Coturnix japonica: one gene and its partner. The protein of the gene in region 1 interacts with the protein of each later gene in a biochemical or structural test. Links are inferred from orthologs where the notes say so. Each region holds a gene or a part of one and is shown in the gene's direction. Other genes may lie near its edges.

Region 1 (14,990 bases):
AGATGACAGACAGGCTGACAGATATATGGGAATAGCAGCGCCCTAAACACGGCCACGGCAGAGCTGATGCACAGAAACACTCCCTTTTAGAAAGCTGTGCTTGAGCTTATGCTGTCACAGCCTTTCCCACTTATAATTGACAGCACCACAAATGCTTTTTATGGCCATTCTATTGCTTGTCACAGAAGGCACAGCAAATAGGAACACTGGATAATTTGGATGAGAATAAGCTGACAAGGTTAAAACCCAGCTGCACAGCACCTTAGCACTTTGAGGGAGTTAAGAAGTTTGCAGGAGACCTACACACCAAAGCAACCAGCTATCTGACAGCTGATCCCATCTGCTGTGGGAGCCTTAAGCAGGGATCGGTGGTGAAAAGCAACATCGCTTCACTGAGTCAGAAGAGGTCAACATTTTACTAAGGATCTGACCCATAAATTTCATTATGAAAAACGTAACTTGTTAATATTCAAGTGCCTGGGACAGACGAGGCACCAAGGAATGGGGCTGACAAGAGGAGTGAGTGGTCGAGAAAGCAAATCTGGTTTTTGCCTTCAGGAGAGCCTGGGGAGAGGGAGGGAGGGAGGGAGGAAGGGAAGGAGGAAAAGTAAAAGAAAGAAATCAAGGCAACTGATCAGTATTAAATATAAATGGCTAGTTTGTCTGTGACAATAAAAATGGGGTTTAGTTGGATTAAAAAACCCCAACAACACGACACCAAAACCAAAACAACCTGCTTCAAAGGAGATGAGAGAACTGACTGCAAAACTGAAAGACTTCAAGATGATACCCCAGGAGATAACATTCTAAGAATAAAGTGCAAGAGCTCATATAAAATACAAAAGGTGTGTTGTAAGGAAGGATCAGAAGGGCAGACTTTGAGCTTCATCTCGTCATAAATCAAAAGCTTGTTCTCCGTCATCCTTGTCTATGAGGTCAGCTTTGATTCCCAAGCTGCAATTCCCAAAGGATGGAGGCATTTCTATCAGCAAGGATGTGTCTTTCTTCCCCCGGGCTGGATCTGCCAGCTCTGCTAGCTCTGCTGTCACCATGGGCTGTCATTATCTCAATCTCTTTACTGCCCGGGATTGTTCCATCCCGGAGCCACAGGGCACTATTGCAGGACCGTGAGAGGAAAACCCACTGGAAGGCAAAGGGCACTTGCAGTGCATTACTTCACAAAGCAGTTTATCATGACAGGCCATCTGCAATAGCTCAGCCATTGTTAGCAGCCAAACGATTCAGCACACTGGTCACCCTGAAATGCGGGAGGAATACAGGACGTTATGCAAAATAAAAACAACGGGTAAAAATATCGACTACCTCCAAAATCCACCACTAAATAAATGGTGAAAAGTGTAACTATCTGCCCTGCCATTTGCTCCACATCTCTTTCGGTCTGTGTAACTCAAGCACTAATCTCGTAGCTCTTACTCACGCTGTAAACTAAAAGAGGGGAGATTTAGATTGGATGTTTTTCACAACAGGGGTAGTGAAGCACTGCACAGGCTGCCCAGAGAGGCGGTGCTGCCCCATCCCTGCAGACAGCCAAGGTCAGGGGATGGGCTGTGAGTACTGATGGAGCTGTGGGTGTCCCTGTGCATTGGGGCAGTGGGACCAGGGGGCCTTGAAGGGCCCCTTCCAATTCATACAACTCTATGATTCGACGATCTGATGAATTAAAAAGTTTTAATATTAATTTCACACCTGTCAAATCAATTGCAGCACTTTTATACTGCGCAGTGCATCCCGTAACTTGCTCCGTTAGCACTGAAATGCTTCACTTCAGTAACTCTCATCACTTCATCCACACAAACAGCGCTTGTGGCATGAAACCTAATAATCACGGCGAGCATTTGCTAAAGCAAAGATACCATTTACAGAGAATAATGCGGACATCGGATCCTATGTGCTTCTACAGATAAAAACCTTCGTTCCTTCGGCACTAACGCAGAAGAGCAGGCAGAAGGGGCACGAAGCCTGGATTTTTAAGCCAAGCCCGCCCTCTAGTGCTTTAGAGACGGTAAAACCGGGAAGGGTCACTACGACTTGGTTCGTACGACCTATATGGGACCTATTGCTCCCATAGATCCGAGCCCAGGAAAGCTCTGTAACAATCTGTGGCACCGCAATTTGGAGCCGTTTCTTCCCTCCCAGCTGTTATTGCTGTGTGACCCACAGAGCCGGGGAACCCTCGGAGTCGGAGCTTTGAAAGATCCGTGTTGCCCTGGAAGGCATTTTGGAAAACATGACACAGAAGTGCCGTGTTCCCTTTGTACCAAGGATGGTGTCCACCTTGGAAACAGCAGCCTTCCCATCCCTGTGTGCTCCAGTACCATTCTGAAGCCCTGTGTGAAGTGAGGCACTGTAGGACCAAGCACTGTGCTCACACACTCACTAAGGGAACCTTTCTTCCTGAGGGTCTTCCTCTAAATGGGCATCGTAGAAAAATCCCAGCCCCCATTTCTAGCAGCACTGCTGAACTGGTATTCATGGTGTCTCACAAGTGCCCGTTTGCCATAAAGGAAAAGCACTGGCATCACTTAAAGGCATTTCCCCTCTCATGGAGGAAATAACACCAGTTAGTAAACATTTCCAACAACGAAATAAAGCAGACGTTGCTGAGCTCTTGGTACTGACACAAGTGGCAGTGTGACCTTTACAGGGTACCTCCTGCAGCCCCTCTGGCTGTATTAAGGCCTAATTTCCATCCTATGAACACTTAGGAAAATGATTAAGAACAGTACCCACTTGTATTCCATGTTATGCAGAGAAAGCTCCTGGCTGTGCAGTTTCTTGAGTGAAAGTGTGCTGGTGGGTAACACAACGTCACAAATTCTGTTAATCTCTTAATTATATTAAACAGACCAATGGGACAGAGGTAGCTAAAAGCATTTGATATTTGTGCACTGTTAAGTGTCCTGTTTGTTTTCCCCTTGTAGCAAACTGGACTGTACTTCCCCTTCACCTTACCCAACACACTGACCAGCTCCATTAACTCAGTAGAACTCCTATAACTGTTATCATGACTGATTTCCATCCTATCATCTGTTGTTTTTACACTGTGGATTGGAATGGAAGTCTGCAAGAGACAAACTGTCAGCAGTGGAAGAGTGAAGCAGCCCAAGTGTGGAAAGGAGCCATGTTATAAGAACAGCAAACCTGCAGAGCTGCTTACTTATATCCAACAAAGGGATTCTCTACACCAAAAGAAGGGAAGCGTGTTTAAAATTAACCACCTTTTATTGTATCCCATTCAGCCAAGATAAATTACTGTTGATAATTAGAGAAATGCCCTTCTGCCCTCAGCTCTTCCATTTTCTTTTCCTAAAATTACCGTGAAGCTCAGCAAAGAGTCATCGTCTGTTAGTGTAACTTTTCATCCTGGAGCCATTTTTTCTGGTAGCTTAGTCATTACACCAGTCGTATCTACACATCTGGGAGCTATTGGTAATAGGTGAACAGTTGAACTGGATGATCCTTTAGGTCTTTTCCAACCTTGGTGATTCTATGACCTGTCTGGCTAACTGGTGCATAACTTGCTGGCATTACCTTCACTGTGCTTTATCCCCATTTCTTGTTTGTTTTCTTTCATTTACTGGAAGGCATACAGCCATTCCTGGAAGAAAACTGTACTTAGGTTTTAATTTTCCAGGCTTTTATGTCAACCAATTTGTCCTTCAGATTTTTGAGACTTTAAACCAATTGCTGGTATGGCTGAAAAAAAGACCTGCATGTTTCTCTGTCAGGGTAGGGAGGGCAGAAGTAAGTATACCCATATTTAACATATACACGTCTGTATATTCAAGATAGTTTATTACTGGCTTTAGAATTTCCTGGTGGGGAAAGTTCTCTGCTCCTCTCCCTTTGCTCACTGGGCTCTCAAAGCTTTCAGCCTTGCTTACAATGCCTGTGTGCGCCTTCTACTGGAGGAAATCACTGCAGCACTGCACACTCAGTTTCCATAAGGCGAGGAACTCCTCTCCCACATAAAAAGATTTCTGCATTCTGATGTGAGTTTGAACAATGTTCATTTACACACCTTCAGCACCAGCCCACATTAATACCCACTCCCAGGAAATGCACCTGTTCAGCTCTACAGCTGCAAGAAATCAGTGGGACTACTCAGATTCCTTGGCATACACTTACTGACCAGTAACACTAGAACACGAGGTGGGCTTCAGACCAACTGTTAAATGAGGTTCAGCAAGAGGACATCCAAGACCCTCCACCTGCCTGGCCATCTGGAGCAGGTGAGCGTGGCCCTCAGCTGAGCAGTGCCCTACCCTGCAGGACTTGTATAGCAGTGTTCAAATCTGATCTCTCTTAGTGGCATTTTCTGTGCATTTTCCATGTAGTTTTGGTACACTAAACAATCCCTCACACCTGCGCAGTACTTTAAACACAGCACTGATGGGACCATGCACGTAGGAGTGTGATTTGCAGGACGACTCCTTGCTCTTTTGGGTTTCATTGGCATCAAAACAGAGCAGAAGCTGTTACTTCACACAACCAAAGTAACTGTGGCCCAAAGCATTTAAAAGCACCAGATGTTTTACCCTCATTCCTGACCTTTGACACCTGAACACACAATCTGTTACTAGCTTTAATTGTTAAGACCCAACAAGGCTCAGACACAGCTGCCACCCTCCAGGTGTGACCTTGAGCTAAAGAACCTGCACTTTTAACCTCCAAACCCAACACTGGCCCTGCAGGACTCAGCTCTCCTCCTTACACAGCTGCTGCTCCACCTGTACGCAGCACCGGTAATCACTAAACTCAAAGGAAACCAATTCAAATATACTGTTTATTGTCAGCTGAAGTTCCCTGCAGGCAGCCAGGATGGCTTTTCTTTCCTCACACAATCAACCCCTCCTCTGCTCTAGGGTACAAAGAATCATCACACATCGACAGCAGCTCCGCTCCACACACCGCTACCCCAAAGCACCGCACCAGGAGCCAGCAGAGCCAACAGAGCAGCAGAGCTCCTCCTTTGTCGCCGCTCCCCGAGACCCGCAGCCCAAACAGCCGCAGCATTTCCCGTACGGAGCCCAGCCCGCCATCAGCCCGCCATCAGCCCGCCATCAGCCTAACACCACTCCGCCATTACCCCGCCCCGTAATGGCGCCCTGTTACCTCACTTCCGCTCCGTTCCGCCATTTCCTCTCCGCGCCCCGTGACGTCACGCCGCCCGGCGGCCAATCAGCGCGAGGCGATTCCAACTCAAATTTTGTGTGTCGCCGCGCGGGCCGGGCCGGTCCCACAGCGTGCCGGGACACAGGGCAGAGCGGGCACGGCCCGCAGCTCCGCACCGCCATGATCAGCAAACCCCGCCGCGGGGAGATGCCGTTCCAGGCGGTGGCGCTCAGCTCCATCCCCGCGGGCACGCTCACCCCGCTGAAGGACCTGCTCCGCTTCGGCCCCGCTCCGCGCCCCGTGCTGCAATCCACGATGCTGGAGGGCGGCCGGGAGCCGATGGGCATCGGCGACATCAGCGACATCCGCCCCGGGCCGCCGCCACCGAAACGCTGCGCGCGGGAGCAGCCCGAGCAACAGCTCGTCCAGCAGCTCGCCCAGCACAGCCCGGCTGCGGCATTCCTCAGGATGAAGATGAAGATCGAGGCGGACGGCACTGACCGAATCCTGACACCCGGCGGGGCCGGGCCGCGCCTTGCGGACGGGGGGAGGCGCAGGGACCAGCAGCACGAGAGAGGTCGGTAACCAACGTGTGCCCGGCCGGGGAGCGGGCAGCGCTACCTGCGGGCTGTAGGGAGCGTCTGCGGCGGGGGGATCGAAGCTGAAAGATGGGGTTGGGTGCGAGCTGAGGGCCGCCAGCATTACCCGGAGCCGGTGGTACAGGCGGTGATAGAGGTACCGGAGCTGCGGGTGCTCCTCTGTGGTGCCCGGACCGGGGGACACCGTCCCGCGCAGGGCTGGATGGTCTGTCAGGCCCCGCCCAACCCCACCGTGCTGAGGAACCGCGATCGGTTTGTTTCAATGTGTTCCCCCTGTTCTGTCTGCGAATGGGGCTGATCTGTTGCCATCTGTTCAGTCTGGAGAGTGACGCTGTGAGATAAACAGAAACAAATGAATAGCTTGTGCTGTTCTGACAGCTGAGAAACGAGGAGGGTTGGTGGCAGAGCTGCTTGGAAGCTGAAATACTTGGGAGGCACCTGCTGGGTGCCCGGCTCTGGTGCATCTGCAAAGTAGTATCCAGCTCCCAGCAGCTGCTGCAGTGCCGAGTTTGCAGATGAAGAACTCCACGACCAGGAACACCCACAGCTCCTCCAGCTGCTCAGAGCCCCGTCCAAGCTCTGACCCAGAGCAGTGCTGCAGTGTTAGGAATTGCTGCCTGCTGGCACAGAGCTGCCGTCCGTGCAGGCAGTAATGATGGTTGGCAGGGGAAGCTGTCCCATGGCAGAGCCCTGTTAGCCTCGTGTTTGGGCCGTTCTGAGTGGAAGAGCCACTGAAATACTGTCTGATTTATCAGCTTACAGTGCTTCATCTCTGTACACCTGCCTGAAGTGTACTACGTATAAATAATGACTTTTAAAGGCCTCTTCCAGCTCAAACAACTCTGTCATTCTAAATCTTACGTGTTGGCCATTTATCCAGTTAGTTAACTGAGAGTATTGCTATGGAGGTAGTAGTGCCCAGGCTTCATGGTTAGTTATTTTAAAAGCCTTTCTAAATCTCCTTGCTGCAACTTAAAGCCCCTCATTGCCTTCACTGTATCTGTTGGACATGATGAAAACAAGTAGCCTCTTATTTCTACAAAACCTGAACATTCTGAAACTTTCCTTTCTAACCCCAGCTTTCCAAAATGTGTGTTTCCATCCTGCCTCGTTTTATCTCATATCAATAATGATTTCTGACCGAGCCCTGTGTTCCTCTGGGGGGTACTACTGGGTAGACCTTAATAGTACAAAATAGATCCTGTTTGCATTCGGATCTTATGAAATGTGTCTTTTGCTTCTCTTCTTCCCGATGTTTTTCTTCCCCAGTTTCAACTGATTTTTGATCTGTTCTTTCAGAATTACCCCACGTTCAGATCCCCCAGAACCAGGCTGTGAAAATGCTGAGCATCGACCCGATCGTACTGGAATCTCCTCAGAAGTTCTTCTTGCGTATGAAGCAGAAATTGCAGCAGAGGCAGCAGCAGCAGCAGACAGGTACTCAATGTTGCTCTTAGAACCGCATCAAAAGCTTGCGGGACTTCAGGACGCCTTTCTTTCTTATAATTTCTTGTGTGCTATTGGCAGAATAGTGCAGGCTGTTGTTTGTCTTTGTAGTCTGTGCACGGAGGAAAGAGGTGCAAGAAACCTGCAGCTCTGCCTGTTCAGCCCTGGAGATGGCGTCAGACTTGCAGGCTGTAGGTCAGGATGCTGCCTTCGGGCATTGAAGCCTGACATCATTTGTCTGTTGTTTTTGTTTTTCCATTTGTACCTGTCTGATGTTCATTCAGACTCTGGTGTTGTGGTTAAGAACTCTTTATAAACCAGGTGTGACAGTTTGGCACTAGAATGGGAATTTGATGGAAATGTCCTAAACTTTTTGTTTGCTAAGTCTTTCCCCCACACTTTTGCTTTTAATACATAAAAAGGAAAGGCTTGGTTTCCTGATGACAAATGTAGAATGAAGGCCCAGGGAGCTACAGGCTGGTGAGCCTCCCATCTGTGCCTGGGAAGATCACAGAGCAGGTCCTTGAGAAAAAGATGTTAAGGTACATGAGGGATGAGGAGGTGATCCCAGACAGCCAGCACGGCTTCAGGGCGTGCCTGAGCCATGTGCCTCAGCTTGATTCTGGGGGAAAGTGGGATGCTTATGTATTGGTCTGGTAGTGATGAAATTCTAGTGCAAAGCAATTCAATGAAGTGCTTGCTGTAAGGCTTGGCAGTTGAGTTAATGCTTTCAGAACAGTAGTGCTAACCACGAGAACATACTCAGATTAACATGACTAACTGCCTTTTTTTTTTTTTTTTTAATTGGCAGATCCAACGTTTTCAAACTTAAACAAGCAGAACGTTCCTCCTCGCCCAGCTGCAGAAAAGCCAGTGGTCAAATCTGCTTTTGGTGAGCTGCTCCCAAATGCTCAGACAGAGCATGTGGCTGCTGATAAGGACAATGAGGATAATTTCCTTGTGGAATCAATGGATGCTGATGATGAAATGTCTCTAAATACAGTAGCCAGTACTGTGGGTATCTGTTCTACCACTTCTGACCCTGGGGATCAGTTAGAAGGAAGATATGGAAATAGAGAAGCAAAACGTCCTGAAATTCAACAGGAGAAAGGACGGTTGCAGTCAAACAATCAGCGAGCTGAGCACAGAGCAGAAAAGATACTGAAGACTGCAACTCAAAAACCCTCACGGCACTTCTCTAATGTTGCGCTCTCTAATCCTGAAGCCTGCGTGCCAAGGAAGCAGAAGCAGAAAGAAAACTGTAATATAGTGGGTAAACCTCGGGCAGATCAGATCGCTGTCACTGCTGACGAAGAGGTGGGAGAACTTCCTGCTTTGTTACAGCTGTAGGGTAGAACTTCCCATGGGCTGCCTGTGGCTTGTGGTCATCATTTTGTTTTTTTGTCAAAAGTAATGAGCCTACAGATGAAGCTGCTGGGTGTACTGGGTGTGATGCTGGGATGGAGTTCACATTCCACACAGCAGCCCAGACTGGGCTGTGCTCTTGTAGCTGGAGCAGCAGTGATGTGCAGTGCTGCTTTGTCTCGCACTGGGCAGTGCTGGCGCAGCAGCAAACCTGCCCCAGAGCCAGCTGGGGAGGGGGGCACTGCTGGGGTGCTGACCTACAGCACCCAAAATGATATCTCACACCGTGGGACATCATGTGCAGCAGTAGGAGCTGGGGAAGGAGGAGGGGAGCTCTCATTATGAGTGTCCTCCCAGCTGCTGCTACAACAGTGGAGGCCCTGTTTCCCAAGATGTAGCCAGGTGTAGCTCACTGATGGGAAGTAATTTTCTCCTCTTGTTTCTCTACAGTCTTTGTGTTTTACTTTTTTTTTTTATTTAATGAAGCTGTTTAGCTCAGCCCATGAGCCTTCTTTCACCATGTGTTTTCACCCTGTTTTTTTGAGGAGGGGGTATGAGAGCGCAGCATGGTGGAGCTGAGCAGTGTAAAACCTCCTCAGGCCGTACCGGTAAATATTTTCCCCTCAAATGACTTCTTTTATTTTTTTCCCAGACGACTGTCTGGTTGGTTTGTATAAAAGAAGGCTTTTTCCTTTTTCCAGGAGTTAGTTAATTTCTACTTTGCCAATGCATTGGCAGTGTTACATAGCTTAGTCTGATATCAGAATAATAGCAGCTGTGATCTTTTTTCCCCACAGAAAGAAATCTGCCTTTCCAGCTGGTGCATTAAAGTGATAAATGGTTATACTGCAGTCTGTGTTGAAGGAAAACGAAAGTAAGGAAAAAAATCTGATTTAAATGCGATGTAAAATATGTTGAAGGGGTTTCAACATCTCAGCCCTAAAGGTGGTGCCATCCTTTGAGATGCGGGGTTGGATTATGTTGGTAGCTGTTAGAACCAGTTCCATGCAATTCTGCTGCGTGAAAGTCCGAAGAGTTCTGTTGTTTGTGGCAAATTAGGCAGCTCAACATTTGGGCTATGTGCCCTTAGTGCTGCTCTGTAGCTTGGTCTGTTCCTACTGCTATTAAAGTATACTTAAAAAAAATTCTATGTAGATTCTTTTCACATTAATACTCACCTGTATTTCTCATTGAGAGATCTCTTAAACACTTGTTAATCTCTAATTTTTGCATGGACTGGAGCTCCTTTCTTCAGTTACTGTCTTTTAAATGGAAAAGTAAGAAATGAAATATTCCCAGGGGGAGCTTAAACTGGGCTTGTATGCTAACACCTCTGTAACATCCATGAGGGTATCACTGCAACACTGAGCTGAATGGAGTCCTTTAGTCTACTTTGTTTTTGCAGCCTAGTGCATGGCATGTTCTGCGACAAACACTTGCAGTGGTGGCAAGCTCATTTTGTTCCCTGTCCAAATATTAACTAACTAAGGGGTCCAGAAAATCTTCCATACTAAGAAAGGAAATCCTAGCACATTCTACCAGTGTCTGCCTGACTCATCGCATTACACTGATATGGAATAACAAATTCTTGTTTTAAATTCCTCCTTTTATGAAAATTGGGTCGTTTTTTTTTTTGGTGTTATTAATGTTATTTATCTTTTCCTAGAGATATGAAGGATATGTTGTGGCATAGTAACGCAGTTGTAGAACGTGTAGCATACAACAAAGTTAAAACATCATCTGGCAGTATCTACTTGCTACAGGGACGTATAGATTCTGCTTCGATGAGAGAAGAAGGTAGGAAGACCATTCTTAATGTAACATTACAGACTTAGGAGGGCTTTAGAGTTACGGCTGTGAGAACTTGCACATACCATCAAAGCGAATGTTCTATGTTATTCTGCAGTCTGGGCTCGGGGGGTATCAGCACTTCTGTCAGCTTTGAATGGAGCTGGGAGCTTTGCCCAGTCCCTCAGTGCTGGGCAGGCTCCTGTTCCTGGCTCCCAAAAACCAGAATGCCATCTTCACAGGCTGATGTCTGTGTCCTGTGGCCCTTGGTCCACTTTATCATGACATGTACAGTTCTTTCAAACTGGGAAAATCTGCCTGTCTAATGTTTAGGATGTTAGTGAGTTTCTGAGGTGCTTACAAACAAATCCTACTGTGTGGTATTTCTGTGTTTCCTGATTAAAAATATTGCTCAGCTATTAATGCCACTTCTGTTTCACACAGGGTTTTCCTATCTGTTCATAAAAAGATTTACATTTGGGTTTCCTGAAAGGTGGAAGGAATACGTTGATGAGCTACTCAAGGAATTAAGAAGGTAATTTCTTTGGAAATTGTTTAATTGTAATACTTTCCCAAGTATTAGTTGGTTTTTAAATATATTATACTAGTGGAAGATAAAAGATGGTAGGTGTGTGTATGGAGACTTCTGGTCGCAGGGCCACCAACCTCCACTATTAATACCAGACCAGGCTGCCCAGTGCCCCAGCCTTACTATTCTTCATTACAATGCTTTGGTTTGTTTCTGTTGAGATGCCTGGGGTCAATACAAGTGAAGGGCATCGCTGATTCAGTGGCTTGAACCATGCCACTATGAGTAGAGCTGCACTGTCCCACTGGGATGGGGAGAAGGCTTTGAGTCTACATAAGTCTTTTGTTAAAGGATAACTGCTTTAAGTGTTTATTATTATTTTTTTCTTAACCTCTAAATCATTAGGAAAGATCACAAAAAAAGGATTACAGAGGATGAAAATGAAGAGAGTGACTCAGTGGTGGACACAGATGAGGTGCAAAGTGCAGAAGACTCAGCAAGAAATGCAAAGAAACATGAAACAAGGAACACTACATATGAAGTGTTACCAAGGAAAGATGAACACACTTGTGAGTCTTCAAAATCTTTTTCTTTAGAGAAGAGGTGGATAGTTTGTGATAGCTTGCTTTTGGTGGCTTTGTTGGTTCTTGTTTTCATAGAATCACAGCATGGCCTGGGTTGCAAAAGCCCACAGTGCTCATCCAGTCCCAACCCCCTACTGTGTGCAGGGTCAGCAACCAGCAGCCCAGGCTGCCCAGAGCCACATCCAGCCTGGCCTTGAATGCCTGCAGGGATGGGTGTAAAGTTGAATTATATGGAGATGGTAACAAAGATGATGACAAATATTCAAAAGGTTATTTATAAAGGAAAACTTAATGATATGGATGCCTTCACTGGAAATGCTGGGGCAATCTCCACCAGGGGGCAATCTCCAAGAGAGATGCTGCTTCAGTGGTGGTCAGCCACAATGAGGTCTAGAGGAGGTGGAGTCGAGCTCCACCTCTTCTGGGAGCACAGCTAAATCACTCTCACCTGTGCTTCCACAGCTGACCCAACACTTGCCTCAGCTGATTAATCAGAGGTTCAGGCTGTGATTTCCAATCACAAGGCCTCCACCCTTGACCCCTTTTTTGGCTGTCTTCATTTTAACTCCTTCCTTGAATCTGCTCCTGCAGCAGGTTTGTCTTATGGCATCTTACTGGTTTACTGCCAGAGCTAAGGAATAGAGTGATGTGCTAACAAGCATTGGGCATAGTCAGAATGGTTGTGGAAGAATTACTTTCTTTGTCTGTTTCCAGAGGGAACAATTGTGAAGGCATATGCCAACAACCAACATTTTTTTGTTGCCTGGTAATGCAGACTTCATTAGGGACACAGTTAACTTCTGGTTTTTAACTTCAGCTTCTTTTCCATACCTTGTCTGAGGCTCCAGCAGGGCTTGGCAAGCTGTTAGTACTGTAATCAGATTGTCTTGCTCATAACATAACAACTGTTTTCATTTTCTCATTATAGTGAAGGTTTGCTCAGTGCGACAACTTCTCTTTTATCACTGTAATTCTCTGTGTTTTCCAAGTTCTTCATAGCCTTGTAAGCGAAGTGAAAGGTTCACAGTGGTTTATAGTACATGAAGATGATTGTTTCAGTCTTGTTCAAGTATGTTTATTTCTATCCTACATGCTTGTAAAAGAGCATCGTTACTTTGTGGTACATCTTTATTTTCCTTATTGTTTGTGCAGGTTCCAGGTTAGTATGGTTGGGTGGTTGTGGTTGGACTTGATGATCTTGAAGGTCTTTTCCAGCTTCAACAGTTCTATGGTTCTCAGTGAACTGGTTTAAGTACAGCATCACTCTTATGCTTGTGAAGTGTGTGATGGTGAGTTTTCAATATGGCATTTGGGGCTGAACTGAAACTTGTTGTTTTTCTTGTAGATCGAACACCAAAACACAACCCTGTACCAAATGGCTCCCAGGGGATCTACACCCGTAGTGGCCGTTTGGTCAAACCACCACTCAGATTCTGGTGTGGGGAGCGTGAGTTTGTGGATCAGGGGCTAAATGTTACTATACACAAAGGTGGGACGGATTATCTGAGCTTGGTAAGTGTCCTTTGCACATTGTGAGTTACACATTTCTGTAAGTGGTGATAATAAATACGTCAGTAACTTCGGTGCCATTAAACTGACAGACAGGCTGTCCCAGTGAGTGCCTGACTAGGCAGGGCGTTTTGGAAACATTATGAAAGCATCTTAAAGCAGGAAAAAAAGCCTCTGAATTATCAGAGAATTGTAGTTGCCTGTGAAGCTGGGATAATCTGAGATTCCTTCTGGAAAAAATGGAATGTTCTGGAAGGTCAGGAAGTTGTGCAGAGGTTCTGCTTTGGGTGACGGCTGTTCCCAAGTAAAACATTTCCTGCAGTGTAACATCAAATCCCCGCCAGAGCTGTAGGCAAGGTTTTACATTATCTGTACTGTTCTCAGCTTTCCCTTTTCTGTGTAGTTTCATATTCACTAGGAGCAGATGTTTCTTCATTTCTTACACCTTGGTCTGTCCAGACCCACTTCAGTTTTGACTGGGGAGGTTTATTCTCATATATTACAACACTCCAAGCAACTCTGATGGTACTGTGATAATGAGCAAAGGGTGTGTGAAGGAAGGCAGCGTTCTTTTCAGCAGCTGTTTTCTCCATAAGATCAGTTGGCCATACAGCCCAGGGAGCACACCAGCTCTTGTCAGCAGCTCCAGCAGTGTGGATGTGTGTCCAATTCAGAAGGTCCTAACTTATGAGATTTTAACTGTTAGAGGATGGAGTGGGAGCCTGGTGAAGTTGCCTTAGTCACGTGTGCTCATATCAGCACCTGTGTGCATCAGACAGCACTGAGTGGATCCTGGGCAATGCAGGAGTCTGAACTCTACCCATCCCGTAGACGTTTGGCTCTTTCAGAGCTGGTGTTGGTAGGCTTGCTATGTAACCTCTAGCAGAAGTTTAGATTGAATTGTTTTATTTTGAAGATGTGTAGTACTGAAAAGCCCAAAAGAAAGACCATTTCGCTCTCAAAGACGAAGGAAAGAAAGGATTCAACAAAGACAGTGGAAGAAAAAACAAAAAGCCAAGATAAAGGTAAAAAAAAAACCCACAAAGATTTGCTTGTTCTATTGAAAGTTATTGAGTGGGATGATGAGCTGGGTGCTGCAGCAGCGTGGCAATGTCTGGCTGGTGCAAACAACTTATTTACATCTTTGATTATCATTCACTTCTGTGTAGAATTAGCAGAGTAACATTGATGGCTGCTTCCAGAGCTCAGAACATGTTTGTAAACTGCTGCTTTGGTACAGCAGGAGGACATGCACATTTCTTCCCAGAAATCTGAGCCATTAGGAAGTCATTTATTGAAGTTTCTGCTCCTCTTTGGGTCTCAGTATGGCTGATGTGTGCAACCCGAGGGAGCTGCCTGGGCCAGCTGTTGGTCTGGCTTTACTTTTCAAGCTGCTCAACTATAATGAAATGAAATGCCTGTGTGGCTGTACTGACAGTGTTCTGAAGCCTTTATTTTTAATAAAATTTGGGAAACAGCAGCACCCTGAAACCAATGTAAATATAAGGCAAAATACTCTGCCCTAAAAGCAACTATTTTCTACCGAAACATGATCTGTGTGATAAATACAGCTTTGGGGATGAGTGTTGGCTCTATCTCAGTCCAGGCATTTCAGCAACGTTTTCTGCTTGCTGTTTTAGTCTCTATCTGTTCCATGCTTTCAAGTTCTCTTGTTACCTTGATAATCCTAATTCTTCTAATAGTCAAGGGGCATTCCCTCATGGGAACAGAGTGCAAGTACTGGAATTCTATGCGTGAAGGACCCTGCCTGCTGCTGGCTGTGCTCCGTCTGAGCTGAGGGGGGAGCATTTGCTCAGCCTAAATCCACCACTCAGAACTGGCTTTGTGCTGTGTTCTCTGTACCAGTTTGGAGGGAGGGTACTGTCAGTGCTGTTTGCCTTCCAGGGTACAGTAATGATTTCCCTTAGGTGTGTGATATACTGACATCATCTCTTTCAGGGAAAAATGAACTAAAACGAATAAGTACTAAAAACAAAGCCACGTCCACTGGAAGCAGAGAGGCCAGGCGCTTTA
Region 2 (14,843 bases), on another chromosome or scaffold:
TGTGAAAAAGTTCAGAACGTGTTGTCATCAGAGCCACAAAGAGATAAGGGGGAATTACTCCAGGTCCTTTATACCTTCAGCTAGAGCTGACCCAGCAGGAGGCTTATCAGAGTGCTGAGTTTTGGCTGGGCTACTGAGAAATGAGAATGTACAAAAAACTACTGAGGCATCAGCTTATTTTATTCTTCCTCTGGTAAAATACACAAATAAACAACCAACCACACAACAACCAAAACCCTTTCACTGAACTTTAATTCAAGGGATGCTAAATGAAAATGGATGGGCCAGTATTCTGGCCTACTCTCCCAAAAGTTATTATATGAGGCAGTGACTGGGTGCTACTGCCAGTCTCAGCTCCTCAGGGGAGAAATGGAGATATTATGAAAAACTTGAAGTGCTCAGAGCCACGTGGAGAGAAATGAAGAGCACAGATTTACCAAATTCCATATCAAAGCTATTTTAGTTTCATCTTTAAGAGCCACTAATACAATTCATGGAATTCACTGAAGCTTATCAAATTTGTTCCAGATCTCAGGGCAACTCGTGAGGGATAAACAGAAACTTCCTGGCTGTTTTTACAGTCTTATTAATCCTAATTAGGATTCTTTCTGAACTGGGACAATGTATTTTAAGAACCTATAAAAATCTCTTCTATTGCTAACTTTCATAGTCAGCTTCTATATGCATGTGGATATGATTTTGAACAGCCTGTTCGTTTGTGGGCCAATTAAGCTCTGTATTATTTTCATACAAAATGGGTAGATGCATGATGCTATGAATAGAAAGCAAGAACATGACTTCATTGCTGGATTTAGATCCATTTTCATGAGACAAACAAGCTCTCACCGTGCTTCGGGAACAGGCCACATAACAGAGGAGAAAGCACAGAGATTCAGGTCTCTGTTTTACACTCAATAAAAAAAATAAGGCAAGACGGAATTAGGGAGCTATAATCCCACCCCAGGGGTTATGACGAATGTATAGTTCATTAGAGCTGATTCAGAGAGGCACCTGAACAAATGTTCAAGTCCCATTGCAGTCAATCAGGAGAGGTCCCCTGGAACATCAATATAGCGCTTATTTTAATTCTAGAGATATCATATATTTTGCCAATTTTGGAATATTTACAGCTCTATAAGCCCCTATTTAAGGGGAAATGATCACATTTCATCTTCTGCACAAAGGGCAAGAACTTGCTGAACATGATTTGTTTACATAGTTCCAAGCACATGAAGACAATAATCCCAGCAGCTGCTTTTGAAGGTAAAAGAATGTAAATATTGTGGAAAGACAGGAAAACCTATAAAGTATATTCATTGCCTTACCAGTCCTTTTATTCAAAGCAAGGAAAAAAAACCTAACCAGCTGTGGAATTATTTCCCTTGCTATTTTCTTTATAGCTTGTTTTCCCATTGGCAATTGGAGAAGGAAGAATAAAAGTTCTAGTATGACGCAGCGTCCATTCCTTCTAGGCTGCTGACATGGAAAAACATCTATTTTTATAGGAAACCCAAAAAACCCCCAGCGACCAGACAGTTTAACTTTCCTGTCCATCAGGAAACCAAACCCAACGTTTGTAATTTGGAAATTGATACAGCCAATAAGAGCTTTTTAAAGACACGAATCGTGGAGCAGAATCCCATTTTGGAACACTGCCTGGAGATCTGTTACATAAACAGCTGCCCCAGGGAACACACGCTGCCTTAAACCTTGCCCTGCAGAGGGGGGAAAATTGTAAATCTCACACTGTACTCTTACATCTTTCTTTTTCCTCTTTGCCTGGGATATGGGCAGCTGACATACAGAAGACTGGTTTCCTGCAGGTTTGTTTCCCAAAGCTGAGGCCAAAGGGGGTTTTCTTGCTGCCTAACAGGGCACAATTTCTTCATAAAGCTTTTTTTTTGGTCAGGAAATTTCTTCACTCACAGTATTATTCCTTCATTATTTAACCAGCTGCTACAGGAACTTATGGGTATTTTATATTGTTGAAGTCTCCGTTCCTTTATTATTAGATCAGTGAGTTGAAGTTACCAAAGGAACAGAAGATCCGACGCGTAAACAAAAAGCATGATCACGTAAGTCACCTCCTTAGAATATAAAGAGGCCTGAAAGGTGTCAGACTTCTCTGTTTCCTTATGGTAAGAGAAGAAATAGGGAAGAAAAAAAATCACTAAGAGATTGGTTTACTATGTTGTGGGTTTGTTTGTTTGTTTGCTTTTTAAACTGAAATAAGGCTTGAGATCACTCATGAGCACTCAAACAGGTATGTGGCAATGCTCCCTGCGAAACTATCAGTGAATTTCAGAGGGGAAACATCTTCTCACAGGAGCATATAAGGGGTTCCCTGGTGGGATTTGCCAGAGATTATCTGATATAACTTTCAAACGAAGAGATTTAGGTAAGTGATGTAAAGCTGCTCACAACCTGCCTGTTCCCAGCAGCACCAAACGTTGCTCTACACTATTCTGGTGCGGGATTTTATATATGGAAGGCTGTGGATATTTACATCTTCTTCTTTTAGGTATGTTGCTCTTGGTTACCTAAAGTTGGAGGCAGTAAACCTAGGCTCATTAGAGTTGGCAGAAAAGCTCTTCTAGAGGCAGTGCAGAATAAAACTCTGCTCTCATTCTTGCTCCCATAAGATCACAAAGCTCCCCTGCACAGTGAACTGAATTAGGTGCCTGAGGAGGGTGGTCGGAACGTTCCTCCCGCACACTCTCAACCTTCACTATTAGAAAGGCACTGCCTTGGAAATAATTTGAAAGCATATGATATTTTTCCTGCAGACCTGATCACTGTAATAACATTGGGGAAAGCTATAATAGTTCCTGAAACTATACCTGCATAGTTGCAGTTGTCTTTAGTAAACCAGAGACTAATAAAGCCACTGCTGTGGCTTCACGATCACAAAGATGTGAGAGAAACTGCAGAACACTGCCCATAGCTCAGGCAGTTCAAACATATCTGTCTTTTCTCCCTTGATCTTCATCCACCCATCCAGCTCTATTGACTTCCATGGCAATAAGGTACTGTGCTGACAATGTATATTACTACTTCATCTGATCATTCGGTAGCACTAAACCACAAGAGGAAGAATGATAGAATGTATTTTCAGCTTATTGTTCCTGGCCAGCAGAAACAAACCTCTTCCTTTACCAAGGTTTTAAATACTTATCAGTTGTAACATAAGCTGTATGTCCCAAGCTGAAAACATGATAGTCTTACAACAGAACTTGTAACTTTTCTTAGTGTAGCAGACAAGTAGTTCACACCCCAAGCCTACAGATCTGCATGTAATTAGATTTACACTCAGCAATGATAAAAAGCCCGTCCTTCTAAATAAAAGTTAATATTAGCAGTCTTACAGTTTCAAGTATTGTAAGATAAATCATAGAGCTTCATTATTAGCAGCAACTGCTGTTAGAACACAGTCAAGGAAAGCCAGTTTGGCACACAGACACCCATCCATACAAACCTTGCACGCTTAAAGCATTATGGTCTCAGTCACAAAGAAAGCAAGCTAAGTCAGTAAGACAAGCTACGCAACATTTTGCCCGCTCATTTTTCCTGTACTAGATAAACACCTACTACACTATGATACTTACATTTATTAACTTTCAACTTCCTTCCATCTACTGGAATTGGATCTATGTAATCCCAATAATATTCGTAAGACCAGAAGTACTCAGATGAGTTTGTTCTGTTGGCCATGTCAGTAGTGCATTTTAAATCAGCTTCAACCAAGTACTTTTTTTCATTGTGCTTGAGCGCCCTCAGAAAGAGATTGCTTAACTGATGCCTATGTAAATCACTCTGGAGTCCTGTAGCTCAAGGACTGCCTTGGTACTAACTAATGTTGAGCAAAAATGAATATTAATGCCTGACAGATAAATAGTAGCAGCCTTTAAGCGTAACCCTTGCTTCCTGGTGGGCAGTTACATTATTCCTCAGCATATCAGAGCTGAGATGGATGCCAAGTAAGCTAAGAATGGGATGGACAAGTGCCAGATGTGTCACAAACCCTTCTCTCTGAGAGACAGCTGCAATGAAGTGTTCTCTGGAGCTACTGGAAACAGCCAGCTGGGCTGAAGGAAATCTCTTTCTATTCACATAAAGGAGGGGGCAAGTACCTGACAAAATGCATCATAGACAGAGGATGCAACAAAGCTGATGAAAAGTCTGGAGCATAAAATCATAACAGGGAGTAGCTGAAGGAGCTGGGATTGTTCAGTCTGGAGAACAGGATGTCAGGGGAGACCTCACAGCTCTCTACAACTATCTGAAGAGAAGCTGTGACAAGGTGGGAGACAGCCTCTTCTCCCAGGCAATGGTGATGAGAAGAAATGGCCTCAAGTTGCACCAGGGGAGGTTCAGGTTGGGTGTTAGGAAGGATTTCTTGTCAGCAAGAGCAGTGCTGCAGTGGCACAGGCTGCCCAGGGAGGTGGTGCAGTCACCGTCCCTGGAGGTGTTCAAGAGCCGTGTGGATGTGGCACTGAGGGACGTGGGCAGTGGGCATGGGGGCCACAACGTAGGTAGAGCCAGCTGAAGGCTTGAGGTGTTGGGCCGTGGCAGCATAGCAAGTGGTACCTAAACGTGCTTAACTGAGCTGAGCAGCAAGGACAGCAGGCCCTCAGCTGGCTTTTGGCTGCATCCCTAAAGCCTTCAGTGCGTGTGGTGGCTGGGGAAGCCAGGGCCGCATCCCATAGCGCACAACGCACCAGTTTGGCTAAAAACAACTTTGAAACCAACCAAAGCCACTTTCTCTCTGCCTTCTCAGTGCTACGTCACCCAAACACCTCCTAACACACTCCAGCAGGGGTTATGAAGGCACAGCACTGAGCTAGACCAGCGCTGACACACAACCCCACCTCCTACGTCTACGCTAGTAACGTAACCACGCTGTGGGCAGGGACATGTACTAATCCCCGCCCCTGCTACGCTAGTTGCGTATGTACGCTGTGGGGCGTAGCCACGCACCGAACCCCGCCTCATGGACGCGACGTATTCGGGCTGGTTCCGGTTCCGTCGTGGGCAGTTTGAAGGTGATGGCGGGCTTGTTGTATCCGCTGTCAGGTGGGGCGGTTGCGCTGGATTCGTCTCTGCCTCTGCTCGAGTCGACCATCCCTCGGGAGGCGCTGCCGATGGAGCGACCGCGGGCTAACGGGAAAGGGGAGGAAGAGGAAAACGACGAGAACCTGCCCATGGTGTTCCTGTGCGGCGGCTGCAAGCGGCCTGTGGGAGATACGCTGAGTTGGGTGGCCAACGATGAGGACGCGACGTGTATTCTGCTGCGCAGTGAGTGCTGCTCCCATCTGCCCTCTCCTGCATGACGGCTTTTGGGGGCCCTTGGTCAGTGTTGGCTCTGTGCAGGTGCCTCCAGCAACATCTCAGTGGACAAGGAGCAGAAGCTGTCCAAAAGGCCTGGAGAGTGTGGATGGTGAGCGCTCTTCAAACCACAGTCGATAAAATACATGTGTATGTACTTTTAATAGGCGAAGGGAGGAGTGATTTGCTCTCTTTGTTTTTTTTTAAAGCATGGTTGAAACGTTTTCCTGCTCTGGCTGCTCGAGGGCACTTGGCAGCATCTACAGATGCACCCCAAAGCATCTCGACTACAAGAGGGATTTGTTTTGTTTCAACGTTGGCTCAATTGAAAGGTAAAGACAGAATCTGCATTGCTGTCGGGTTAACCTCACCTTCCAGACACCATATCAAGGGATGCTGCTGCTAACAGTCTGAGCAAGTTCCCTATGGTAGTTAGGTTTTGAGTATCTCTGGAGGAGACTCTACAGCCCCTCTATGCTGTTCATTCTGGTAGTCTGCCACTCTCATGGTAAGAAGCTTTTTCTCATGTTTGTATGGAGCATCCTGTCTTCCAGTTTGTGCATCTTGCCCTCCTGATAGGGCCAGGCTCTTTTCAGTGGTGCCCAACTGCTTGGCTCTGCCCTTTAGATATTTATAAGCTTTAATAAGATCGGTTCCCTCAGAATTCTCTTCTCTAGGCTGAATAGTCTCAGGATCTCAGCCCTTCTGGTCTTAAACTGTTCTTTGATGTTTGAGGATGTTGTTAAGTCTCCACATTAGAGTTCTGTCCGAAGTTTATTTAAAAATCTCAATCTTCAGAGCCATCTTAAAGGTGGAAGATTTTAAGTATCCAGACTAGAGATCTTTTATCCAAGTGTTGTTATAGTACTAGTGATAAGCTACTGTTACTTCCATGTGGGCTAGTTTTACTGTTTCTACTTCTATGTGAAGTTCCAGCCTGTTCTGCTGAACATACATGGGTGTTTTCCTTCCTACTCTGAACAGTCTTTTCTTCTTTACACAGCTAAATACTTTGGTTTTTGATGACAGTAAAAGTCTCTGGAAGACTATGACAGGGCTACAGAGCAGCATTCTCTTGGAGTAGTGATGATGTCTAGTTCTCCCATCTAGTGCTACACTAATCTTAATATCTGAATGACATCTTGGTTGTTTAGAGCTCAAAGCTGTTGAAGTTTTACCGTACAGCTCATTTGCAAGATTGCTAAAAATAGGGTTGTGTTATTGTTGTTGCCAAAATAGTGCTTTGACTGTGCTGGTGCATTAATTGCGATCTTATCAAGAGTGGCGGATGAATCATACAAGTGTTCTTTTGCCTTCAGAATGAAAAGTGCATCATCTAAACTGTAGCATATCAGTTACATTCTAGGATCCTCAGAAAAGCAGGCTGTTACTGATGAGGAACCTTTAACTCTCGAAAGTCGAGTTGCCTTGGAAGAAGCACTAAAAAGGGTAACGCTTAATCTTGCATTGTTTTGATGACATCTATACTTGTTCTTTATATTGTACACCTGTTTCTAACCAGGTCTTTCCCCATTTACTTCACAGGCAAACACCATACTAAATGCTCTGGAGGCAAGGCTGGCTACTGTTGAATCAAGAATCGATTCTCTTCACAGTAATGCTTGAAAGAAAATCCTGCGTGTAAAATAACTGCTGGAGATTGATGTGTGTGAAACTGGGATCTGTGGGAATATTTTAAAAGCTGCTCGAAGATCTGAAAGATGTGGGCAGTAGGACAATGCCAGCTACTGAGTCTTTGTCACAGATGAGGAGTTCCCCTTTTGTCTTGAGAGAATACCCTGGGAAGAAAAAGACTTCTAAAAAACATTTCAGTCAATTTGTTGTTTATATAGAAATATTTATTTTTTTTTACCTTGGAAAGCAAAGGTCTTATCTCCTGGTTGTCCTGTATTTTAATATCTGCTGAACTGAAGGCTTCAAATGCATCAGCTACTATGGCTTCCTGTGCAGTACTGAGAGTCACGCGTGTAACAGCCTCAAAGAGGAGAAGAAACAAGGCTACTAGCAGCACACCTTTTAATCAAAGTTAGGTGCATATTTGAACAAAGAATTCAGTGCTGCTTAAGAAACTTCTGTCAATATTTCATTGTTAACATGTAGATCTTACTGTTATGGTTTTCTGTATGTATGTCTTCCTAGCATTGTGTTGTTTTTTTTTTAATCCCCAATAAATCAAAGTAAGTGGTAATCGTGTAAGGGAAAAATCTGATTTCTGTTTATTTACATACCATTGCCCGATGCTACTTAATTGCATCACTGCTAATTTTTAAGTAGTCTCCAGAAACTTGGAATGAATTTTCCCACTGTTCTTCCTACTGGTAACTACCATTTCTCTTGAGAGCTCTCTTATTTTTCACTCTCTCTTCTCTCTTTTTTTATCTACCATTTCGTTTTAAAGTAGCACGCAGTTTGGCACATTGCAGTTGTCTTGTAGTCTTTCCTGTTCAGGCAACTCAAACACTGTTATGTTTATGCCTGCTGAGGTATTCTAAGCTCTGGTTGTTCCAGTCAAATTACTCAGTGTCTTTTTAGAAGCAGCAGCATCTCTAGCAAGATCTTTTGCTTGAAAGTTGTGCAGCAGACCATCTGAAAACAACCATGAACTTTGCTGTCCTTTAACTGAAGATTGGTTGACGTTTTTCATAGAGTGTATTTTTCTCAATTGCTAACACTGGCTTTGTAAGCTTGCCTTTTCAGGCATAACCCTTTATATTTTTTATCTGTATAATGTGTGTATTTTCTTTTTCATCAAGTACAGTTATGGGAGCAAGGATGCAAGCCCTTGGTTTCTGGGCAAAGTCTATGGCCATCCAAATGGCCATTTCTGGCCAAAGTCTATGGCCAAAGTCAAAGCATGCTGTGTTCTTAACGTCTTCTAACAAAGGTTAGAATGTGAATCAAGTTCACAAAGGTGAACTTGTGTGTTTTTCTGCTTATTCCCTGTCTGAGTTACAAGCGTGTTGGGGGTGACAGATCCAGCAACCTAGCAATCGTCACCTTGACTTGGTTTCCAAGTAGGCCCTTGTGTTTAATGACATTAAATGTATATCTAATATTTCTAGTTCTACCTTGGGTTCTGAGAGCCAAGTTAACCAGCCTCAAGTAGCATCTGTAGACATGTTCCTCCATTAAATATTTGGAGGGCAGCTAATTGTAGTTCAGAGCTATTCCCTAAACAAGTCCATCACCTGAGTTCCTTCAGCGACTTTAGGGGATGGGTGCTAGTATTGTATTGCTGTAGTGTGTAGCAGGAATATAATGCGTAAGCAAGCATTAAAAATAAGTAATGATTGCTTATCTTATGGTAAGCACATACCTTTCATAACCGTCTATCTTAGCTACTAAGAGAAAAAACACCTGCTGATGAAAGGAATCGGAAAAGCAAATTGCTGCCCTCAAATTGCAGGCAGAAGTGACCATATAGCCCAGTTTAGTTTCTGCTGTGGAGCATAGGTAATGTGTTTTTTAAATGTGTTAAATAACAGTAAACTAAGATGAGATACAATGATAGTTCTCCATCTTTTATAAACTACCTGCCTTTGGCTACACTGCATATTTGGTGCCTTTCAGCATATTGTAGGTGGGAGCTCAAACACTTTAGCGCATAGGCTCTTAAAATAGGTCTATGCTCTCAAGAGTTTCAAGCTGGCTCTTTGCTAAGGTGTGCAATGAACAGGCTAAATCTGGAATGAATTTCATCCAAAGAGCTATGTACATCTGCATGGGGAAATGTGTGTGTTTGGGTGTGTATATGAAATAATCTTTGCTTTTTGCAGTGCAGTTCAAGTAGGAGCTGGTATCTGGAGCGCTTAACTGGGTAAAGATAATACAGCACAGATTGATTGCTTGTTTTTTTAAATATAGAAATGTCTGTTGTGATACATTTGAATAGTTGTTAAACATTAATAAAAGCTGTAATTTTTCCCTGAACAACTAAAGTTAGTAATAAAGTTCTAATGTGCCAACGTGATTTATAGGCATGCAGTCATATGAAAAGGTATTGTTTCTCGTTTAATAAGCAGTCTCCATTACTGGTGGTTATTCCTTCTGTGCTCACTTTCAACCTTTGAAAACAGGGTAGTTTAACGCTGGGGGTTCTGCATGCTCTGTTGTATGTTTACTTATCCCAGGTACCTTGCACACTGTGCAGTGAGGGGAATATGTTGCTCAAGGTTGGAAGAGATTTTGCTAGGGAGAGGAAAATTAGTGTGGCTGATTGCAGGTTGGAGAACTGAGAGGAAGGCGGAAAAACTATGGCTGTAGTTTGAATGCTCATGAGGAAGGAGAAACCTCTTGACTAAGGTTTCTACATCAATGGGTCAAGGTCTATGTGTTTTCCACAGGGCAAGTGGCTTCTTTCCTGACTGAAGGTGGTATCTGCGTGTAGAGACCTGAGGTGAATGTGTAATGTGAAATGAGACACTTGGCAGGAGCCTCTAGCTCCCTTATGTCTCCTAAGGTCCTGCAGTTTATCCACACTTTGTCTTTGAACAGCTATTAGCTGGAAAACCAGCTCCATTTAATGATGATTCTTCTTCCAGTGTTAGGATTGAAAAAAAAAGAATCTGGACTGGAGAAAATGTGCCAAATCAGAAGGAACAGAACAGAAGGTAAGAGAGAACTGGTACATCATATCCTGACAGGGAAGCTGGATGTTGTGGGAGTGAGCAGGATGAAAATAGATGTGTGGATTCCAAAGGGAGCGAAGCACCTGAATTAGTTTTGTTACAGAGAGATCTGAACTTCAGATTCTTGTCCTGTGTACACAGGCAACATGACTGATACAGTTACCAGAGGCTAAAGTGCCACAGCGGATTGTATGCTGAGTGAAATAAATGTTATTCTTACAAAATACGTTCTTTATACTCTTACAAAACAAGCATTGTAGTGCAGATACACGCCAAGTTCTCTATACAAAAAAAAGAAGGTGTCAGATCTTTGAGAACCCTTCGGGGAAGGAAAGGATGGCAGAAAGTGTAATCCATGATTGAAAAGAGAAAGTCAGAGAACTACTCAGTGAATATTCTTAGTGAAAAAATAAACAGGAATAAAATTGCAAAATGAGCTAAGTGCTGGTAAATTTGTACTCAACATCCATAGGATCTACAAGAGCCTAGAATGACACTCAGGCTGAACACTTTGATGTGACACTTAAAATGAACACTTGGTGTATTTTACATGGAGCCATGAACTGGAATGTATTGTTACTGTAATTAATGCTTTAGCAATCTGCACCAAATAGTGCCAACAACCACTAGTCAGGGTTCAATAACATCAGCACTTGCTGTTAAAATTTTCCAATCATCACATTTTTCTATAATTAAACAATTGAAACTGTTACATGCCGACTTTGTCATAGAGTCTTAGATTCATTAAGATTGAAAAAGACCTCTAAGATCACCCAGCCCAACCACCAGCCCACCCCCACCATGCCCACTGCCCACATCCCTCAGTGCCACATCCACACGGCTCTTGAACACCTCCAGGGACAGTGACTGCACCACCTCCCTGGGCAGCCTGTGCCACTGCAGCACTGCTCTTGCTGAGAAGAAACTGTTCCTAATATCCAACCTGAACCTCCCCTGGCACAACTTGAGGATATTAACTCTCACTCCACCATGTTCCCCTTCTCCACTAAGATGTTCACCTTTGTGCCCACAGTCCATGATGCACCTCCTCCTGTGATGTTGCAGCAATTTGCCAATGCTTGGTTCTTCATCAGGTGATGTGTGCTGATGTGTTCATAAGGAGTTTCTTGGGATGGCTTGAATCCTGCACACTTTCAAACAGCTGTTTGTTAGCACATCTTCTTGGCTGGACTATGAATATATATATAATGGTAATAAACTAGTGGTAAATTAGTGATCATGTGTAGTATAATGCTTTGGTATAATAGCTAGTTATGCAAAATGAATGCAAAGTTAAAACAAATTAAACACTAATTGGCTGCTTACTAGACAGTTTTGTCAATGTAGCTAAAACAAATGAGATTCCAGCCAACACACCACTGGCAATGTGCTGTTACAGCTACAACCAAGCTAAATAAGCTCAAGGCTGGACAAGCGCCAGAAGCGTTTCTCAAACCCTTCACTCTTTTATTGCCATGAGAATACAGGGATGGTGGTCTGCTAATGGAGACGCTGTATTTACTGTGCTACGGGACTACAATAGAGGTAAGCCTCATTTCTACAGGGTCAAATAGCGTGACGCCGCCCAGGTGATTTTTTCCTTATGTCTCCCATAGTTTCATCCTGTGTGGCGAGAGGAACAGAGAATCGTCATCAACTTGAAAATGAGCACAGAAACAAACTAGTGTTTTCTTCTAGGCTCAGCCAAGCCACCCAGGAGACCAAACCTATGTAATTTGATAGTACAAGGTTTTATGTCTGCTGCTAGAACGGAACTGCTAGGACCATAAATCAGGAAAGATCCCCTTGTTTTCACTTTCTGAGGGTGTAAAAGCTACTTTTCTCCCATAAGCCCTAAGGGCTACTTCTTATACGTGGATGACAGAAGGTCTGTTTTAAAATCCTTTGTAAACAGGGAAAACTCTTCCCCAAACTTCCGTCACAGTTACTAGAATGACCTGACAGCAAGGGATTAAAAACCAGAAGTACATTTGGGTTTTTTCTGACTTATTTTTTATACACCAAGCTGTCAAAGTTACATTGGGCTGCCCAGGGCCCCATCTAACCTGGCCTTGAACACCTCCAGGAACAGAGCATCCGCATCCTCTCTGGGCAGCCTGTGCCAGCACTTCACCACTCTCTGTAACATGCTTTATTTCATTTGAAGCTACACAAAAACTGCATTTGAAATGAAGTGTGTGGTTTTTAATAAGCCAACTCCTATACATGACTGTACTCAAATCAAATCAAATACGCTCCATAAATGGAAATCTGTAAGATAGGCACTGCTGGCAGCTGCCTGTGGGTTTCTGTGGGGTCCCTGGGCTGTAGCGCTGTGCCAAAGCCCCTGTGAGGTGCAGGGCATGCAGCCAGGATCCATGCAGTTTGGCAGGGCTTGTCTGGGCAGCCTTCCCTGGCCTCATTTGGGTAAAACTTTCCTCTCAGGGCCCCAGTTTAGAACCACAAACAAACAAGAGCAGCAATAACAACAAAACAGGGACTGGAAGCTGGGTTCGTGTTACCATTTTCATGCACCTAAACCCGAGGTGTGACTTGCAAGACTCTGGCTACCATCCAAGTGAAATCTAAGGGGATTAAGCCTGCTTTAGGCTCAGGTGTTTCATCACTTACGAAAAATCAGGGCTGAAATGGACACCTGGGAAGTGACCTTTGGGCAGCTGCCTCATTTATTTCAATCTTGACCGTCCCTCCATGCTTTCCCAGCGAGGCCAGAAGAGGGCACATCTCCATAAGAATTCCGCTGCCTCTGAGCGGTGACGATCCGGATTTTCCTCTCTCCAAACCGTCCCGCTCAATCGGGACGCGGATTTTTCACTAGGCTTTTAATGGCTGTTCTTTAAGATTTGCATTAGCAAAGATCTGCGTTATATTGGGCCAGTGGGGCTTTTCTGAAAGCAGCTGATGAGGAGAGAGCTTGCAAAGCTTCATATGTGAGCAGGAATTAACAACGCTTGGAAGCAGTTTGCGACTACATCAGCTCTTCCTGATTGCCACTATCAGAAAAGATCGTTTCTTAAATCACTTCCTCCTCAGCCTCAATAAATACGGAGTGTTGGGTTGGCTTAGCCATGAAAATCTGCAGCCTTCCATTCATAACACTGCTGTTAAATTCTAGGCTGCTTATTTTACCTTTCCCCGTGCCTCATTAGCCTCCTTGAACAATTCAACCCTTTAGACACGGTGAAAGCTGGGTTCCAGAGCTGGGTAGCCCAGGCTTAGGGATTTAGTTTTGCAACCCTTTATTTGGATGCGTCATTTAACTGCAGCGTTAGTTAGACCCAAGGGCTTTCTATTCCAAAGAAATGAGCCATTGCAAAGAATCCCGGGGAAGAAGATTGGGCCAGATTCGTTTCAGGACACTTTTCTCAGCACAGCATTCCTAGGAATTTCCATCTTTCAATAGCATCTTTACCACTAGACATACAACATGTGAACTTTGCCTAGAGAAGACTTCAACTGAAAGAGGTTAATTATGTGTTCACAAAAGTCCCCTGCAGCATAATTGCAAGCAGGATTTGTAGCTTCTAGAAAAGTCCATGGAAGCCCTTTTCCCTCTCTGAATGCCAGTGGTGACAGAGTCCTGAAGTGGTGTGATTTCTCCATGCCTGGTGTTCCTCAGGTATGGTTGACTTGTTTGGCTGCCAGGCACACTGCTGTCTCAGATTCAATTTACCTCTGATCAGATTCCCCAGGTCCCTCTCCTTGAGGTTCTGCAGCCCCTCATCTCCCAGACTGTACACACTCCAAGGGTTGTCCCATCCCGATGCAGACTCTGGCACTTGTTTCTGTTCAACTCCATGTGGTCAGCACTCCCATTTGTCAAGATCTCTTTGTAAGGCCTCTCTACCCTTGAGCAAGTCAAAAACTCTTCCCAATTTAGTGTTGTCCTTAAACTCAGTATACATTTAGGTCCTGCATCTAGATATCCTCTCTAGATCAAACCTTTCCCTCACAGGTAGAGCACTTGATCATGTAGAGAAGAGTGTGATTTAAGTGGTTTAGAGAACATGGCTGATTTTGTTGGATTGCTCTCTAGACTTCTAAAATATCAAACAGTGCGGGAATCAGTTAAAAGAAAAGAGGAGCTTTACATCTCCTATGTCTGCCATCAGCAAAACTCACTCAGTGTCTTTTTCCATTGAACCCACAGAGCAGCCTCTGGGAGATGGCTGACATGGCAGCACATTGCCTGCACACACAGCTATTCCCTTGCAGAAACCGTGCTGTTAAAGTCATGGAGCATGTAAAAGGAATGGTAACAAACTGGGAAGAGTTGGCTATTCTGTGTTAGCATTGCTTGGGAAACTGATGTCCACCCTCATCTGGTGAACTAGAGGGACATCAAGGAGGCCATAAGGGAGCACATAAGGTTTTCTGTGGCAATCAAGCTCTAGATTCTTAGCTGTAGAGGGTAACAGACTGGTTGATGTTTTCATGCTGCATGTGCTGAGAATGCTCATCCTAATGATGTCTTCTGAGAGCAAATTAGGAGAGACTAATTAAATAACAGCATTTTAATGATTGAAGACTCAGAGAACACCACCTTCTTAGTAGGATGACTGCTCACAAGGTATCGCTCTACACCGTCAGTCAGTAACAACCCAACTTAATTTCTGGGGGGTTAGTTTTAGAGCAGATCTGCTCTCATATCAGGTTCACACTGGATCACCACTGCCTGGGTGACCAAATGGTTGGCAAGAGAGGATCTGAGTGGAGGAGAAAGGGAATGCAGAGGTGAAACAAACAGACAGACACAGGACTGCCATACTACCCTTACTTAACATAGTAGACTCAAGAGTGTGGAACTCATTGAACGCCACTGACTTCCTTTGTGAATCTGCACTATTA

The links.
Region 2: the proteins of MIS18BP1 (region 1) and MIS18A form a complex in vitro, tested with the Homo sapiens proteins (2 studies listed by BioGRID). The link is inferred for Coturnix japonica from reciprocal best matches to the Homo sapiens genes MIS18BP1 and MIS18A.

What each region holds. Positions count from the first base shown.
Region 1 is NC_029520.1:53,293,253-53,308,242, forward strand, and holds the start of MIS18BP1 (mis18-binding protein 1), read left to right. Parts: upstream 1-5,287; 5' UTR 5,288-5,316; coding exon 5,317-5,713; intron 5,714-7,034; coding exon 7,035-7,172; intron 7,173-7,992; coding exon 7,993-8,498; intron 8,499-9,343; coding exon 9,344-9,420; intron 9,421-10,212; coding exon 10,213-10,343; intron 10,344-10,778; coding exon 10,779-10,869; intron 10,870-11,268; coding exon 11,269-11,432; intron 11,433-12,792; coding exon 12,793-12,959; intron 12,960-13,872; coding exon 13,873-13,981; intron 13,982-14,915; coding exon 14,916-14,990. UniProt on the Homo sapiens protein: Required for recruitment of CENPA to centromeres and normal chromosome segregation during mitosis.
Region 2 is NC_029516.1:94,338,410-94,353,252, reverse strand, and holds MIS18A (protein Mis18-alpha), read left to right. Parts: upstream 1-4,967; 5' UTR 4,968-5,045; coding exon 5,046-5,295; intron 5,296-5,370; coding exon 5,371-5,437; intron 5,438-5,534; coding exon 5,535-5,657; intron 5,658-6,680; coding exon 6,681-6,774; intron 6,775-6,870; coding exon 6,871-6,951; 3' UTR 6,952-7,542; downstream 7,543-14,843. Other genes in the region: MRAP (melanocortin-2 receptor accessory protein), read right to left, coding at 3,606-3,711. UniProt on the Homo sapiens protein: Required for recruitment of CENPA to centromeres and normal chromosome segregation during mitosis.